Drosophila melanogaster: one gene and its partners. The protein of the gene in region 2 interacts with the protein of the main gene of each other region in a pairwise test. Each region holds a gene or a part of one and is shown on either strand. Other genes may lie near its edges.

Evidence for each region.
Region 1: the proteins of CNBP (region 2) and CG14718 interact in a two-hybrid assay, tested with the Drosophila melanogaster proteins (one large-scale study listed by BioGRID).
Region 3: the proteins of CNBP (region 2) and CG16985 interact in a two-hybrid assay, tested with the Drosophila melanogaster proteins (one large-scale study listed by BioGRID).
Region 4: the proteins of CNBP (region 2) and ktub interact in a two-hybrid assay, tested with the Drosophila melanogaster proteins (one large-scale study listed by BioGRID).

Annotation. Positions count from the first base shown.
Region 1 is NT_033777.3:11,698,680-11,703,228, reverse strand, and holds CG14718 (uncharacterized protein), read right to left. Parts: upstream 2,616-4,549; 5' UTR 2,484-2,615; coding exon 1,143-2,483; 3' UTR 509-1,142; downstream 1-508.
Region 2 is NT_033778.4:22,934,016-22,938,956, forward strand, and holds CNBP (CCHC-type zinc finger nucleic acid binding protein), read right to left. Parts: upstream 3,063-4,941; 5' UTR 2,498-3,062; coding exon 2,000-2,497; 3' UTR 554-1,999; downstream 1-553. Other genes in the region: CG9849 (uncharacterized protein), read left to right, coding at 3,849-4,144, 4,475-4,769.
Region 3 is NT_037436.4:2,597,691-2,600,751, reverse strand, and holds CG16985 (uncharacterized protein), read right to left. Parts: upstream 1,433-3,061; 5' UTR 1,396-1,432; coding exon 1,372-1,395; exon of another isoform or gene 1,317-1,371; coding exon 1,251-1,316; exon of another isoform or gene 1,173-1,250; intron 1,065-1,172; coding exon 920-1,064; intron 856-919; coding exon 641-855; 3' UTR 510-640; downstream 1-509. Other genes in the region: CG12182 (uncharacterized protein), read left to right, coding at 1,433-1,487, 1,682-3,061.
Region 4 is NT_033778.4:21,100,098-21,104,969, forward strand, and holds the start of ktub (king tubby), read left to right. Parts: upstream 1-1,830; 5' UTR 1,831-2,478; coding exon 2,479-2,520; intron 2,521-4,872. Other genes in the region: CG34396 (uncharacterized protein), read left to right, coding at 118-1,154. UniProt on the Drosophila melanogaster protein: Functions in regulating protein trafficking, retinal maintenance and lipid storage. Protects photoreceptor cells R1 to R6 against light-induced retinal degeneration by stimulating norpA-mediated endocytosis of the rhodopsin ninaE (Rh1).

The DNA of each region.
Region 1 (4,549 bases), on a different chromosome or scaffold from region 2:
CAGGCGGCAGACCAAGCACAACCGACTATGGACTATGGACTAGGGACGATGGACTCCGGACTCCGGACTCCACACTCCACAGCTCCCACCAGGTGCCTTGTCCGCTCGCGTGGAAGAAAGTGCAAAGTAAATGCACAACACAAAGTCTGCCAGGCGCCGCCTCTGGTGAACTGGTGAATGGAGCAGGGGGGCGTGGCATGCGGCAGACGAGGGCAGCCGCAACTGCGGGTGCAGCCAAAAGAGCAACTCACCAGCCGCACCATCTACCAACCAGCCAAGCTGTTGTGGCACAGATTCGGCTGACGCAAAGTTTGATTAAATCACATGACAGAAAAGGACGAGGTAGATAGAAAGGAGGAGTAGGAGGATGGGGCTGGCGAGCGACTTGTGGGACATGGATTCAAGTGGCTTGATGCCACTGCACACAGAAAACAATCTGAGTCAAGGATTTGCTGTGGGGGATTCAGAAATTTTGAAATTTCATTGTGATAGTTTAAAGCCACGAGTTCACCCTTTCTATAAATAAATGAATAGAAGATTAATTTTATTAAACAATTTAGACTTCATTGAATATAATATTTCGATTTACAGTGCAGTTCCGCAGAGCCAATGAGCCACTGAGCCACTGACTGCACGCGTCGGGAAAGTAAATAAATTCATTAAACGTTTAGAGCTGGCCAGGTGGGTCCGGTTGCCTTTTGTGCCTGGGTAAAATATTCAGTTACCCGGATTAAGTGGATTACCATTCAGCAAGTTGCATTGTCCCGCAATCTGAGGATCTCTGCTCTGGGGACAAAGACTGGTTCGGCGGGTATATGGTGGCGGCATTGCATTCAAACGCCTTTTTCTAAGACGGGCATTAACAGGAATTTAGGTGTCTTTTGTTCTTGGCTCTTGCTGTTCTTGGATGGGGCTCACAAGCTCATGGGCATCGCATCGAATCGATTCAATTCAATTGAAGTTGCATCTGGATATCACGACGCAGTTCGCGTTCCAATCACTTGAAATTTTTAGAAGTCCGGAAGGAGCAGGATGCAGAAGGCAGAAGTGTCCTTCGTACAAAAAGATGCGGATACACAAAACAGATAACACGTATAGATACAGACACAGACACAGACAGAACGAGGTGGACTGGACTGTTTCTACTCTGCAATGGGCGGATTCAGAACCAGCTCCCAGGTATCTTCCTCCGTCGACTCGGAGCTCTTCATTTCATCGGAACGCAGGGCGTGGCAACGATTGCACTTCGCTCGGTACCAGAAATTCATATTATAGCAAATCTTGCACAGCCAGTCGTTCCTGTATGGCCGCCAACGACGAGGGGCACCGTCCTCTTCGCGTGATCCCGCCCAGGAACTTCCCTCGTTATTCTGAGGAGCGACCACCTTGTCCGCCTGGCATCTGTTGCAGCTGGAACGCCAGACGAAGTTGCTGTTCCGGCAGAGCATGCACACCCAATTGTCGATGGCTGGCTTCCATTTCATTGCCCGCTGGCGACGTTGGTGCTCCGGCGCATTAAGCTCTCGCGGATAACTGTACCGGACACTGCCCCTCCGGGTGGATAGGTAGGCGGGCAGAACGGTGATCACCTGTCCCATGAACTTGGCCCCACTCAGACAACTAATCGCCGCCTGTGCAGAGAATGGACTCACATAGGTTATAGTGGCCTCACCCTTGGAGCGCCCCGTTATCTTGTTCTTGTAGACGAAGATCTTCGGCTTGTTGGTCGACTCGTCCATCTTGATAACGCCCACTTTGCCGAAGAACAGGATGATGTCGTTCTTGGTCACATTGAGGCGCATGCCCAGCACGAAGACAGTTTCCGCCTGGATCACGTACTGCTCCTGACCGATGCTTATATAGGGCCTATGCCGCGGGAGCGCCAGGCGGGGCATGTAGTCGGCGGCGGTGCGCGGGAACACCATGTAGGATGTGTTGCCACCCATGCAGGGTAACAGCGGCGGCCTCTGCTCGCCATTAACCTCCTCTGCAAGCTCCTCCATTTCCCCCATTTCCCCTATATCTCCATTCAGCTCTTCCCGCTCCAGCGTCTCACATTGGTTCATCTGAAGATCCCGTTCCGCCTCCTGCTCTGTGTCAATGCTCACGGACTCGCCTGAACTCGCCATCGGGCATGAGGACGACGTGCTGGCCACCAACTGCTGGTCCGCCTCTGCACCACAGAAGTGGTCATCCTCTTGGACCAGAAGCAAGGAACCGCTGGCATCGCCGCTTCCATCCTCGTAGCGGTAGAGATCACTGTACATGCCTCTGGGACTCAAACCGGAAGCGGCACTCGCCTGGGGAATGGGGGCTGGTGCAAAATTAAATCCCAATCCAGAACCCAATGTGGTTCCGACGATGTAGTTGGCATGGAACATCTGTTGCTGAGTCTGCAGCTGTGGCTGTGGCTGCTGGGTGTCCGAGTAATTTGGAGCGTAAAAAGAATTCGTATACACTACGCTGGCTGACGTGCTATCCATGGTTGGTAAAAAATATACGTAAAACTCCTCGTTGTGTGGCCTTTACTGCTGATCAAACACGAACCGATTCCTTTAAAAACTACTGAAATCTTTGATAACATCCAGACACTAGGAGTATAAAAATGAACTGAGTTCCGGATCTAAGTTTCTTTGATAGATTGTGTTGTAGCCTACTTGGCAGCCATATTTTTCCAATTCAATCAAATGGCAAGCCAATTTAATTTCATTACTTTTGACTCGAAAAAATGTTGGTGATGTGTTTATCCACATCAAAACAATATAATCCGAAGTATTAATAATATCATTGCTGCACACAAAAACCAACATATCAACCGTTTGTTGCCAATGAATATATTTAAAATAAAATCGACAGCGGCAGGATTAATTTAATTCAATAATGTGGAATTTACTGAGTGAAAATGTATTAATAGCCAAAGTAAAAATGCAATATGGACATCGAAATGGCTGGCACTTTTACGTCCACACCTTTCAAGGGATTTGACCTGGTTTTTCCATCCGTAGTCCATAGTTAAAAGCGCGAAGAACTATGCAAATTTCCGTGATTGGCGGCTAAAACTCTGGATGCCACTTTCGCAGCTCACTGATGACTTTGCACTTCGCTTGTCGTCGTCTTCGGAAAATTGATTCATAATTTCTGCACATTTTCACTTTAATCAGCAAACTTTGATTACATTTTCGCAGCGTGAGATGGCGCAGAAAAGTACCTGATATCAATTTAAAAGCTTCGAGTAGAACTCCCATAGGAATCTGAAACTTAAGTTCATATTTTTCGAAGACAAGACTCATCCATGGCCGGGCCAATCACGATGAATCAAGATGACTGGTACTCATCAAGCCAATTAGCTGCCAATTACCCCACTAATGAGCGACCACATTAACCCCACAAAGGATCCCGAATTGGAGGGCAGTCAAGAATAATGTCCTGCCAACGGAGCGTGGACTCTGAAGACATGTTTATTAATATCCCGAACCCGAACTCAAGGCCGGCCACCCTGATAAACGAAAGTGCCACGTTTGTCGCCAGCTCGGTTCGGGGGAAAAAAAAAGGAAACAACATTTTCACCAGCAATTGGCTTTTATGGCCGCCGCCTCTTTACGACCAAGTCCGCTGACCTTATCATCAGATTCCGGGTTCTCGGATCCGGTGTCCTGTACGGAAGCTCCTGTTTCATTAGCAGCCCCCGCTGCTGTGGTGTCCATTTCCAAGAAAGGAGGAGGGTCAGCATCTTCAACAGCAGCAGCTTTACTTCAGAGCGGCAAAGTTTTGCTTTAACCCGTCAAATATTTCCCCCGTTGAAATGAAGTAATGAAGCTGGGAACCGCCGACACGAAATTAAAAATCAACTGTCTTGAAGGGAAAACAACAGCGAAATGGAAACTGTTGCCGGGGAAAAGTTCCTATTCCGTTGGTGGAAAACTTTTTGTGCGCTCATAAAAATCGAGACAGGGCAAATTGTCTTCCAGTATAATTGCACAAAAGTTTGACTTTGAAGCTCGTCCGTAATTGAAAAGACAAAAGCGCAGCAAAGCAATTGGCCCGGAATATAAGCTGGTATATGTATGACTACGCTGCGTTCGGTTATTCTATGGTGTGGCCAAAAGGGATGACTCTTCATCAGCATCTCTCGGTGCACACGCACTGTGTGCAGCATTCATGTTGTCTTTCCTTCCATTTGCAGCAAAGGCGAAGTAGGAACAGCTAATGAATTGGCTGCCTGCTGGAGCAGAGTAAACACGCAGCACAGCTCAGCTCAGCTCAGCTCAGCAATCTACCTGAATAAACTGACACGAATCGGAAGGTGCAGGTGCGCATTGGGTATCGAAAACACCTATCCACCTACATATCTGCCAATGAAGTATGAAGTATCTGCATCCCGCACAAAGTCGAATTAATGGAGGGGGGCGTTGAAAATCAATATTCATAAAATGTAATACACATTTAATTGAGATGAATTGCACGCATTCAGCATAGGCTGCAATCCATTTTAATGGAATGAGTGCACTTAGGTATTTAACTGTATTATACTGCACTTCTACGGGGCACG
Region 2 (4,941 bases):
CTTGTTGCCAAGTGCAGCCGGCAAAGTTGAAGTTGCCACCCCACCCCGGGACCGCTCTCTCTTCCTCTTGCTCTCTGCCTGCTTTTTCGCACAGCCAGTTTTCACCATTAGCGGCGACTGTACCTCGCAGCACGCTGTACGTCCATACATACGTATGTATGCATTCACTTAGCGCGCGCGTATGTACGCATGCATGTGTGTGTGTGTTGTGTGTGCTGGTACGCGAACTGCACACAGAAAAGAACAGGGCAGGAGAGCAAAGAAAGCGGCGTGAGCACATAGCGAAAAGAGAGCCCCCAGCCCCATATTCCATCCAGCCATCGCCATCAGCTGCCTGCGCCATGTGTTCCCGCAGCTGCAGTTGTGAAAATCGCCGGTAAACTGGTTGCGCGAGCGAGATGGAGAGAGTGCGAAAGCGGGCGATCGCTCTCTCCCGCTCAGGGGCGGAGATGCCTCAAATTGGCAGGGGGCCTAATGAAAGATGTTACCCTGGAAGACGCTGCAAGAATTACCCCAAAGACATAACACATGGTGCGGGATTATTTTTTTTTTTGTCTCAAATCAGCAGCTCCAGCATTTTAATTTACAATTAAAAAACAATCACAGTGATATTTGAATTTTCATTTCCTTCATCGTACGTAGGTTTCGGTCTCGCATCTTTTGTGTCCCGTCCGTCCAACTGAACTGAACTGAAGGTGTGTGTGTGCCGTTGTCTTCTTCATCTGCCCACTGAGTGTTCTGAGTGCCGCTTGCTTGTCTGCTTCTTTAACCGCTTAGCTCATCCTCTCCAGCGTTGCGTTCCGTTTTCAAAGTCGTCGTGTATGTCTACCATTGTTGATGTTCTCTTCTTGTTATTTGTCTGCTTCTCTGTTCTTGTTTGCTGCCCCCTTTGGCTCCACAGCTATGAGCTACATAGCATGCTACCCCGCTTGAGAGATCTTGCCAGGCGTCTTGGCTGATGGGTGTGTGGTATGGTATGGATGTGGATGGAGTTAATGGTATAGGGGTGGGATACTGGTTACTGTCTACAGATCCTGTCTTACAGTCTTAGATCCTGGATAATTCCCAAGGCTCGCCGGCAGCAGCTGGATGGAGTGGAGTTGAGTGGAGTCGAGTGGTAACGTGGCCTGATCTTCTAGCCGCCTGATTCTTCGCTTTTTCATTGGTTTTTATAATTTTTATTTACGTTTTTCTTTCGGTTGTTTCTGGCTGTGGAACTCCTAATAGGATCATTTGCTTTAAATAGTATTCTTTAAGGTATTTTTCTTTATATAATCTTATATAGTTTCATTCCATTCGTTATAATGTAATTAGTAAATTCAAACACTTGCAGCATAATCATATAATCATATAGGTATAATTATAGTAGAGTGGTTTGCTTGGTGATTTCTTTTGTTGTTGCTGTTGTGGTTTAGTCTCATCTTACAAATTGGGTCGTCGTGTCTTCTTCCTCATCTTCTACCTCATCCTCTTCCTCGTCGTCGGTGTCATCTGCTCTCTCGGCTGCACAGCTGCCGTTGGCTATCGTCTTCTGGTTCTGCTCCTCCGACCCCCGCTCGAGGAGCCTTTGCCCTCTTCCTCCTCCGTGATTCCTTTTCTGGCGGCTTTCCCTCGGAAAGCCAATACTTCTTGTCTTCTTTCAGTTCTCGGGACGTTGGCACCGCGCTGCAGGCTCGGCTTTTGGAATCAGCGATGGTTACTGGATGATGTTCAGGATTATGGATTCATATGCTGCATGTGTTAATGGAGGGATGTGGATGTGGTTGTGGGTTCTTTATTTTGAAGGGGTTGATCTTGACTTGGGTGCTGCTGCTATCGCTTCTAGATGTTGTTGCTGTTGGCTGGCTTTGTGAATGTTGTAGCAAATTGATTTTTCGTTTTTTTTTCATTTTTTTTCGTTCTCATCTTTTCTTCTGGTTGTTCTTCGTGTGTTGAATTATTACTCATATTCCTCCTTCGATGATTACATTTATGAGGTGCCACGGGTGGGTGGTGGCGCCTAGTTCCGTCCGCCCTTCTCGTCGCACTCGCGCCTCAGATGTCCGCTCTTGCCGCAGCCGTAGCAAGTCTTCGAGGTCTCCGGGCAGTTCTTGGAGATGTGTCCGGTGCGGTTGCACTTGTAGCACGACACATTGGTCGGTCCACGTTCGTTGACGGCCTCTGGGCAGTTGCGCACCCAGTGTCCGGTCTTGTTGCAACGGTAGCAGGTCGGGTTGTCCGCCTGGGTGCAGTCCTTCGAGATGTGCCCGATGCCGTTGCAGCGGTAGCAGCGCTCGGCCTCCTCAGGGCAGGCACGTGCGAAGTGCCCAAATTGGTTGCATTTGTAGCACTTCTCGCGGTTGCGACGCATGCCGCCGCCATCGTTGCCGCGCATACCGCCGCCGCCGCCACCACCGCCTCCTCCAACGCCGCCCGGACCTCCGCCGCCGCCGAGACTGCAGTCCCGGGCAAAGTGGCCCGGCCGGTTGCACTTGTAGCACGTGGCAGACATCGACATCTTTGCTTCGGTTTTGGTTAGACTACTGATCCGCAAATCCGACTCCGCTTCTTAAACTCAACTTCTCAACTTCCTCACACACTCACTGGTAACCACGGGCCCTCGAGCACTACACACTGCTTGCGCTGGATGCGAAAAAATCACACAGACCAACAGGATCTCCGGCTTCCTCAGATTTCCTCGCCGTATTTTCGACGCCAAAAGTTAAAATGGCTGCCGCTGAGCGAATGAGTACCGATTTGCTGTGGTATCGACTACTCGCCAGAGTTGCTTCGGCTACGCTTGAATACAACACTGACCCTCCACGCGGTGCACATTGGTTCGAGGATATGCGATGGTGAGGCGAAATGTCAGTCTGGAATTGTGTAGTGTGCTGGTGTCGTACTACTTCCACTCGGCGTGCTTTGTCTCACAGAATCTACATTTCCATTTTGCTTTCTCACTTGGCGTGTTTAGCTTTTGTCTCGTGTCCTCCATATTTAGGAGGCACTACATAACCCAATTTTGCGAACTCGATTTTGCCACTTTATAACCACACGTAACCAGTGTGTCCGTGGTGATGGACTGCAACTTATCGGCTCAGTCGTTAGGAGTACCCCTGGCAAAGGGCTATCGAAATATATATCTTTAAATTTATAAGGAAGTCCATTCAAATAATTGTTTTATTTTAATTGTTTGGACACAACATACGTTCACCTTTTTGAAATTGGCTATTTGCAGAAATTGATATCGATTGACACATTAGGGGTGCTTAGCAAAGAATAGCTAACTGAAGACTTCATAAGAGAAAACGTAATACTCTAATAATAGAAAAGCACTCAGATTACGTAACAACTAATAAAATATTTTATGTGCATATATATAAAACGATTTATCAAAAGAACCTGGCTTTGTCAAAAAATCGATATTTCATAGTGGTGTACATTTTTAAGGACTTTCACAAATAATACGCTGAGTACACTTATATTATTGTTATATTATCCCAAATATTGGGCAGCACGATTTTTTGAAATCTGGGTGACATCGATTACTATATGAAAAGGGTATTCCTGCTTATCAGTATTTGCAGAGAAAAGGAATTATGAATAATATTTACCTCAAAAGCTATAAATTAGATAAAGTCATAATAATTTACTTTACTATTTATTAACTATATTAATTTACTATATATTAATTTACTATTTTAATAAAATATCTTTTAATGCCCTCGTCGATACCAATAGGTATTGTGAACGGTCGATAGTATCGACAGAGCGGCACTGCCTGCCGTCGGTTCATCCCTAACGCCATAAGAATTAGTTTGTTTTTTTTTGCAACAAACATTTATATTAGTTATGCGTGCGTGGCCAAAATGCTAATCGCCTGGTTAGTGCTTGCCGCCACTTTGAGCCGATCCATCAGAGCCAGCACCACGATATCGATACCGATCACAACGCAGGACATAATAGCGGGTGACGTGTTTTTTGAAATCCTGTCCCCCTCGGAACTGGAATACACGTACCGGCTGCGCCCGGCCAAGGACTTTGGATCCGCCTTCTCGGAGCGACTGGAGGGTGTGCCGCTAGTGATTACAGATCCCCCCGGCGCCTGCCAGGAGATCCGGAACGCCAGAGATCTGAATGGGGGCGTCGCACTCATTGATCGAGGGTGAGAGCCTTAAGAACCCCTACAAAGCTTATCTTAGCTATTGAAAGATGGTCATAGCCACGGCCACTTTTTATCAGTGGTCTTAGACGAACCATAGACGAACTGTAGCCATAGTTCCATGCTTCTTATCACAAATGTCAGAACCTGGTTACGTGCGTCCGGAGTGTCCGTTTAAAGTCTTATTAACAAAATCTATCAATTTTCCGAATGAAACCTTTCTTTACAATAGGAATACAAAAGATCGATACGGGAAAGCGATATAGATATTTCATATCAGATATAGATAGATATTGATTCTTGTCTTCGTAAACTAACAATGTCATTTTTCAGGGAGTGTTCCTTCCTCACGAAGACACTTCGAGCGGAGGCAGCTGGCGCATTGGCTGCAATCATCACTGAGTACAATCCCAGCTCTCCAGAGTTTGAGCACTACATCGAGATGATACATGACAACTCCCAACAGGACGCCAACATACCGGCCGGCTTTCTTCTCGGGAAGAATGGCGTCATCATCCGGTCGACGCTGCAGCGGCTGAAGAGGGTGCACGCCCTGATCAACATACCGGTCAACCTCACCTTTACCCCGCCATCTAAGATTAATCATCCGCCGTGGCTGGGCTGGTGACGTGATCGGATTACATGCAGCTCAAAGGACTCGTGTGAAAGAGACACACACGATCTGAAACCAAAGTGCATACTCGTAGGCTGAGACGTCGAGACCGCAACTGAGACTATACTTTAGAGTACCAATAAGTAGCTAATTCGTAGACGGCAGCCATAAACTGTAAATAAATAGC
Region 3 (3,061 bases), on a different chromosome or scaffold from region 2:
AGTAGTCGTAACGTGCACTTATATCTCAAGTGTCAGATAGTAATTGTTTTACAATAGAACAATCCAACTTTATTGTATGTATGACGTGTGTAAGTTTGGATGGGACTAAATCCATTAAAAAATAAATCACAGTAGTATATTAACAAATGGATTGCTTTGATTTTTTCAATATTTGATTTCATTATCTTCGAGTGCAGTTTTCCGCTTTTCGATGAAAAGTAAACAATTAGCAAGTATCAAAAAATAAGGTAAACATAATATAGCACGATATTATGAAATAGTTAGTATTTAGTTAACGGATCCTACCTAACTATCCCCGTACTGCCCGAAATTTACATAAAAATCTGAAAATCTAACGTAACACCTAACAAAACAATTTCAAAACAAACAACAGCTGTTTTGCGATAAGCAGAATCGCCAATCGATAAGTTAAAAGGGCAAATCGATATGCAAAGTCCTACCTATTTAAAAATTATCCGTTGGGATTTCTATAGTCTTTCATCTATTTTAGTTTTAAATATCTTTATTTTGTAAATTAAGAAATAACTAACTTAAGAAATAATAAATAATTAAACTAGTACGTCTTAAGCAGAGGTTCGAAAGATTTTATTTCGTTTTCTGACGATCTACAAAAATTGTTTTAAAAATCCAGTTTTTCCTTGTCGAACTGAATGTACTTGACCTGTCCGCCCTTGGCGATGATCTTTCCATCGGACTTACGCCTCAGAATGCAGTCCAAATAGGCCATTTTCTTACCGGCCCGCACGGTATTACAATCAATTTCAATAAGTTCGCCAGGTTTCGCTGCTGCAATGTAGCTTACATTCAGGTTGGCCGTAACTCCGGGATGGGATCCTTGAAATTTAAAAAAATTTCATTGTAGATTCTATAGATTGTAATAAACAAACTTTCAAAATACCTTTCGACATAAGGGCATATGTGGTACAATTATCAACAATTGTTGCCGTAAGACCACCGTGCAAAGTTCCTTGGCGATTCAAATGCTCATTGGCCACAGTGAACTCCCCTATTGCGCGACCATCTCCACCGCCTGTAATTTTAATCTGCGAATTGAAATTTGTTTACATTTTTGAATCTCTGAAGATCCCACGAGAGAGGTGAGCACTTCACGGTTATCGATTGCAGCGAGCTGAATTATGTAATACCATCACTGATGACAGTCAGCTGTTTTTGAGAGACTTCGACGGCGTCGCTTTAAAATCGGCTGCACAAATTGTTTAGAATCTTACCATTTTCAAGACGCGGTCGAATCCATTGGACCCGCTGGCGTACTCGGACATCTGCTTCACAAAGTCCTTTGAAAAGAAAGAACTTCAGTTATCTACTCAACAAGTTACATGGTGCTCTAACCATTCCCAGTTTCTTGGCCGCCATTCCGGTGGATTTGGATTCCTGAACTGAGCACGACGAAATGACGAAAGTTACTGAGGGAGAAATTTCACATGGCGTTCAAGATGTCGGGAAATGTGAGTGTATGCGTGCTAAATAGATATACCCACACATCTGAGATAGTGATTGCCGATTTCGCGCGGTTTGTTGTGCTCGCTCTGTTCGCACTTACAAATAATTCCTATTCTTCAATGAAATAGTGTAACTGGAATATCTTGTAATATAATTGCAGTTTGTTATTGCAATTAATAAATGTTTAATTTCGTTCTAGATTATCTGGATTTTCACCTTCTAGCCAAAGGATTCGTCCGCCAGGACTCGGTACACGACTTTGTAAACAGCGATTCCGATGGAGACTTTATAGCACTGAGCGGCTCCAAATCGGAAGTGATCACTCTGGAATTGAGCAGCAAGTTCATGGTCGTGGATCCCTTTCCGTATTTTGTGGCCATTTATGATTCCAACGCTGCGGAAACACGACCTCTGGACGTTTTGGCCAACAAAGTGGATCTGGTTGCCATATACGACAGCTGCGATGTCCTGGAGGCACAGCACTTGGCCCTGGACCCGGCATACACGGCTGTGTGCTCCGTTGCCGTGCCACCAGCCAGACTAACAGCTGTTAAGCGAGCACCCAAGCTGGCAGCTAATGGAAATCTCCTCCTGGGCTCCCTCAACACTTATGGATCCTTGAGCCTAATAAACAAGTCCGCTGAGTACAATCGTTGGAACCCTGTGGAAGGACTAAATATCGCTGAAACTCTGAGGGACACTCTGCTGCCTGAAGTGGACATCGCCAAGATAAAAGACTTTAAGAGCTATCAAGAATATATTAATCCCGCCTGGATCACTATGTTTGCTTGGTTACCTGATGATGCAGATGCCACTGGCCAGCATGTTTTGGTTCTGGGAACAGCCGCAGGAAGTTTGTGGTTGCTCACACTAAGCGCCGATGTCAAAACTCTTTTAAGTCATCAAGAAACGAAAACCTCAATGGGTCGTATCTGCCATATACAAGCTTTCAAGGACCTTCTACTGGTGGGCGATAGCAACGGACTCATTCACCTGTACCAATTGCCAGCTAAGGGAAATACAGCTCTCGCCTTAGTGAAGCCCTTGTGGGAGAAAGCCGATCGCATGGGTCTGCAAATGGCAGTGATCACTGAATGTCCCAGAATGGATTGCTATTATATAACCTGCTGCAAGGCGGCGCACCTGCTGACCTGGAGCATGCCAAGAACGGGGAGCACAGACTGCCTGCAAGCTCGGATCTATGTCGGCGGAATGAAGATCACCGCTCTCTGCAGCCTGGAGAACAGTAGCTACGTTGCAGGAACCGCTGGAAGCTGTTTGTCTTGCGTACAAATTATCCACGAGAATAATCAGCTTAGCCTGCAGATGCAATCGATAGCCATGGGTGTCCTTCAGGATTTCCAGGTGATGGGACTGTGCACCAGTAGGCACAAGAACTTAATGACCCTGTTACTCTACCGCAACAAGGAATATCTAAATGAAACTGTATCTCAAAAGAACCAGTTGGTTATGCAAGTGCTCAAGGTGGGGAATCAGGATCCACTTGATCAGCTTGTCAGGCATCTGGAATCCAATAAGCCCATGAATCACTATACCGATTTATTAGCTGGACTACGTC
Region 4 (4,872 bases), 1.8 Mb from region 2:
AAACTCCTAAATCCTTTCGTTAGTTCTTATATATGAGCATATTTCCATTTTAGGTTCTTTTTTTAGTTAGTCATATTTAACTTATTAACTCCCATGCCTTCTTCTCTTCCTTTCCAGGTTACGGCCACATCACTCCAAAGACGGGCATGGGTCGATCCCTGACCATCGTCTATGCCATCATCGGCATCCCCATGTTCCTGATCGTGCTGGCCGATCTGGGCAAGTTATTCACGCGCTGCGTCAAGTTCCTGTGGGTGTATGTGCGACGGATGTACTACACGCGCTCCTGCCGCCGGATACGAAAGCAGCAGCAGATCCGGAGCGCCATGACAGGCTTCAATACGATGTACGACATGGCCATCCGCAGGCCGAGCATGTTCTTCAGCAACTCTGCGCCAGAGAACGATGAGGAGTCGCAGGCGGATGCCGAGGCCGCAAGATCGGTGGGCACCTCGCACCCGGAGACACCCACATCACCCTATCCAGAGACCTTCGAGGTGGACGACGAGTTCAATTTGCCAGTGTCGGTGGCCTCGCTGCTGCTCATTACGTACATCCTCCTAGGATCCTTCGGCTTTCTAATGATGGAGCCCAGCTGGACTCCACTGGATGCCTTCTACTACGTGTTCATCTCGATGTCCACAATTGGGTTCGGCGACCTGGTGCCCAGTAATCCCTTCTACGTAATGGTCAGCATGATCTATCTGATGTTCGGCTTGGCCCTGACCTCCATGTTCATCAATGTGGTGCAGATCAAGCTGAGCGATCACTTCAAAATGGCCAGCGCCAAAGTGGGCGCCACCATTGGCATGAACATGACCAGCGAGCTTGGTGATGAGGGCGGCTCCCAGGTGAAGACTCCCTCCGAGCTTGCCTCGGTGCACGGTTCGCGACTGGACAGGATCGAGGAGGATGGCCAGGAGGCGAATGGCAATGGCCACTCCCCGGTGCCACCACTCACCTCGATCCTGCGCGCACCGCGTCCTCTATCGCCGGCGTCCAATGGAGTGGATGCTAATGGAGTTGGAGCCGATGCTGTTGGAGCTGGGGATGTTACTCCGCCACCTCTGCTGCCCAGGCGTCAGGTTTCCGTGGATCCCCAGCCGCCGGCGGAGGGGGAGAACAAGAAGAAGAAAAAGCACAGGTTTTTCTAGAATCCCTGGGATCTTCCGCCTCCAAACAAAAAAAAAACCGACAAAGTTAACGTGTAAGAAACCTCAAAAATGACAAGGCAATTTCAATCGAATTTACCGTAACGCGAAACTCTATATTCATTTATTTGTTATTTAATTTTACTCACCATCATCGTAGCATAAGTCTAATGTTAATGAAATAAAGCGCGCGAGTTGACAACGCAAATTGATGTTTTTAATTGTTGTAAATTCCGCTTAAGGATCATAATCATAAAGTTGTATAATTTTTCAACACTCTATTATCCTGTTATCAGCGTGGTTTTTTGCTCAATCCGGAATCGAATTGCCAGATGCGTATGCTTTGTACGGGAATGCATCCCAAAATCCCAGTAACAGGGAGTCGGGGGCGCGAATCCAAATGCAGTCGCAGTCGGCAGCTGCACATCTGTCGCTCGTAGGAAATGGAAGAGGAAGCAGCCACAGGAGGCGTTGTGCGGAGAGAGAGAGAGAGAGGGAGAGAGGGAGAGACCCATTCCCATTGAGAGCGAGTTGTGGTTCTCTCTGCCTCTCTTTCGCTGACACACGACAGGATGGCATGCTTCGCACTCCTGCTTCGGCTGGCATTCGTGTGCATGTTCCGTTTCCATTCCGTTCCGCTACGAGCACTTCGCCTGAGTTGACGGCTTCTGTTGGACGCCCAGTTGTTGTTTTGGCAGCGTGCGGTTCGGTCGACGGGTTACATCGCCTTCTCTCCTCTACCAAAATAAAGAGGCGCCAAATTCAATCAATTGGACAATATCACACGCAACTCAACGGGCACGAAAGTGTTTGTCAAACAACATAGATTGTATAACATTATAAATATATGCATATTCAGGCGGTACTCGCTCAGTGGCTAAAGCAAACATTCAGTGCCAGCGATCCGGAGAATTCCGATCGATCGCGTCGGTACAAAAAAAATTGAGCGAGAACAGGAAGAGCCGGCTGTTGGCTTCAGTCTACAAATCCTCACCCTCGTGAACACCCCTTGATTTTTTTGTTGTCGCGTGTGCTGCCGTACTACACTACCACAAACTACAAAATATATACCATACCATACAAACTGACGCCAGGTGTGCTAAATTCATAGATTCTTCTTCAATTATTTTGGTGCCCCATCGGTTTTTGTTTTGCTGCATTCATTCGCATTCGAAAAGTCGCTCTTCAACGCAAATCCCAAAACAGCTGTCACTCCCGAATATTTGCCAAATGCCTCTTCATCGGATCATCTGAATCGCGCGTAGTTAAGTGAAAATCGTCAGAGGATTTTGATTGCCTTCTGAAATCTACAGCCATAACTGCAAAAATGTCCGGAATCAACAGTCGTAATCAGAAAATGGAACAGCAGGTAAACCCAACACTCCAATTTGGCAGATCTTTTCTAGATTTTACCAAACCTATAATCTTTGATAATGTAATCTCTGAAATTTGAATTTCTTTAAATGTGTCATTCATATCCATTGTGTTTGATAATCTTCATAAAGTGGACACATTAAACCAACGATCCTATATTATAACAAAACCAATCTATACATACGACAGCGAAATTTATGAACAATTTAATGGCTACTTGTATTAAACTTTTGCTTTAGCTAAGAATTCTTTAAGAACTTTTTTTCAATTGACCATGAATCAAGGCAAGTTAGCACTGGCCTTTTAACTCTTCCAGCCCGACGGTTCGTGAATGTGGTCTAGAAACAAGAAAATCCACTCCTTTCTTGGAAAACTCGGGCAGCCCATAGCAATCAGCGCCAGCAGAAAAGGGGCCATCAGCCGGCATTACACGGAATTGTTCACTTTTTGGCCTCAAAGTTGACCGCTCTAAATGTGCCACCCCTTAAAGGCAACAAAAAAAAAAGGAAAATGAAACACCCAAGTGGCTTAACGCCTTCTCCAAGTGGTTTTGTTGTGCCCGTTTGCTCGTGGCCAGGTGTTCGTCCGTTGTCCTGGCAACGGCGTCCAAATAAATCGAAACGAAGCTCCTGGTGGTGGTGCAGTTGCTGCAGTCCGATTCGATTGTCATTGGCCCTAATTATGTTGAGTGGCACGGAACCAAAAGGCACCCTACTCCACCCACTGGCTCATAAATCGAATCACTTCGATGTGGTTGAGTTGGGCTGCCAAGTGTGGGAGGTCCTGGGTCCTTCGAGTTACTTCGATTTCGTGCCGCTATGGCTTATAAAACATTGAGCAGCTATTGACAGCTTCTTCGAATGGGAGGACATTTTGAAAACATTATGCCAAGTCATTTCAGCTACAAATGAAATAGCTTGAAAGAAATCGAAAATAAGTGGAAGCCATGGGAGCGCATTTCATTTTGATTGAATTTTAATTTTAATTATAAATTCACATTGAATCATCTCACAAATTCCCATGAATTAACACATTTCGTGATTACCATTTTAAAGCAGCTTGTTTGAATAATGTTTGCTTTATCACATTCATTTTCAAATGCGAGTATAAATATGATAAATATTCACTTGCTGAGTCAAGCTAATTTTCTTTGAACGTGTTAGCATAGAACATTAATCCTTCCGAACAATCGTTTTGGGTCATTTTCTCGAGCTTAAGCCAACACAAAGTTATATCCGCCATAAAAAAGAGAATGTGGCACAAAAAAACGGAGTCAATTTGCACTTGGCATAAATCAACAGAAAGATATATGGCAGTCAACTCATAAAGTGGTCGCTAAATATACACAAAGGATTAATAAAGTCTTCGGCCTGGACGCCAGCTAACCCACAATGTAGTATCCTTTCTTTGATTGGTGTCCTGCGTCACTATGGGCAACTACCCACACACACACACACACAGATATGTCCAGGCAGACAGGATTCTATAGTATCCCCATAGGAACACAGACAGACAGCGCAACTAGAAATATACACAATACCATTCGTTGGCATTGTTTTCGTATTGCCATCACCCATGGAATACCATTAAGCGAGGCCACAAAATCGATTCCCGCCTGGTGACGAGTCCTTCAGCTTCGCGAGGAACTGAGCCGCAGGATAATGCCCAGCAATAAGTCACACAATTGTTCACTACTTCCACATATGAATATAATATTTGCTTTCCGCAAATCGCTCAAGCTTTTCCTCACGCAAGTCGTAAAAAGAAACATTTCGGCCAAAAAAAAAGGATGTGACGCACCGACTTTTTCTAATAAGTTACTTGCGTAGATTAGGGTGAACCTTTAAAGCTTGAGAAGTGATTAAAAAATATGATTTGACTAGAGTAGAGCTCAAGCAGAAAAGAGACCCGCCATCTAACTGACCATATATAACTTTCTTTTGATCAAATGAACAAAGTTTATTCGGTGTACTTCCAACTGCTGTTTTTAGCATTAAGAAAAAGGTCCACCCTAATATGTATATTAGCCTAACTTCACTTAGCTTTACGGCTTTTGCCCTTTGTTTCGAGCCTGTAATTTTCGTTCTGTTGCTTCAAATACGAGGTTCTTGACCCAACGAGAGGAAAAGCCGGCTAAAACGAAATCGAATTTACCAAACTTTTCGTCTGACAGCCAAAGTCGAGATTTAATATTTAATAAGAATACGATACCTTATTAAATGTGCATTTGGAGCTGTCATTATGAACTGATTGATTGTTTCGGTAAGAGCTGTATTATTATTTGACTTCTGTCTCAAATTACCCGGCACTTGTAGAATCAAAATAATAACCACAACTATTTGATTAA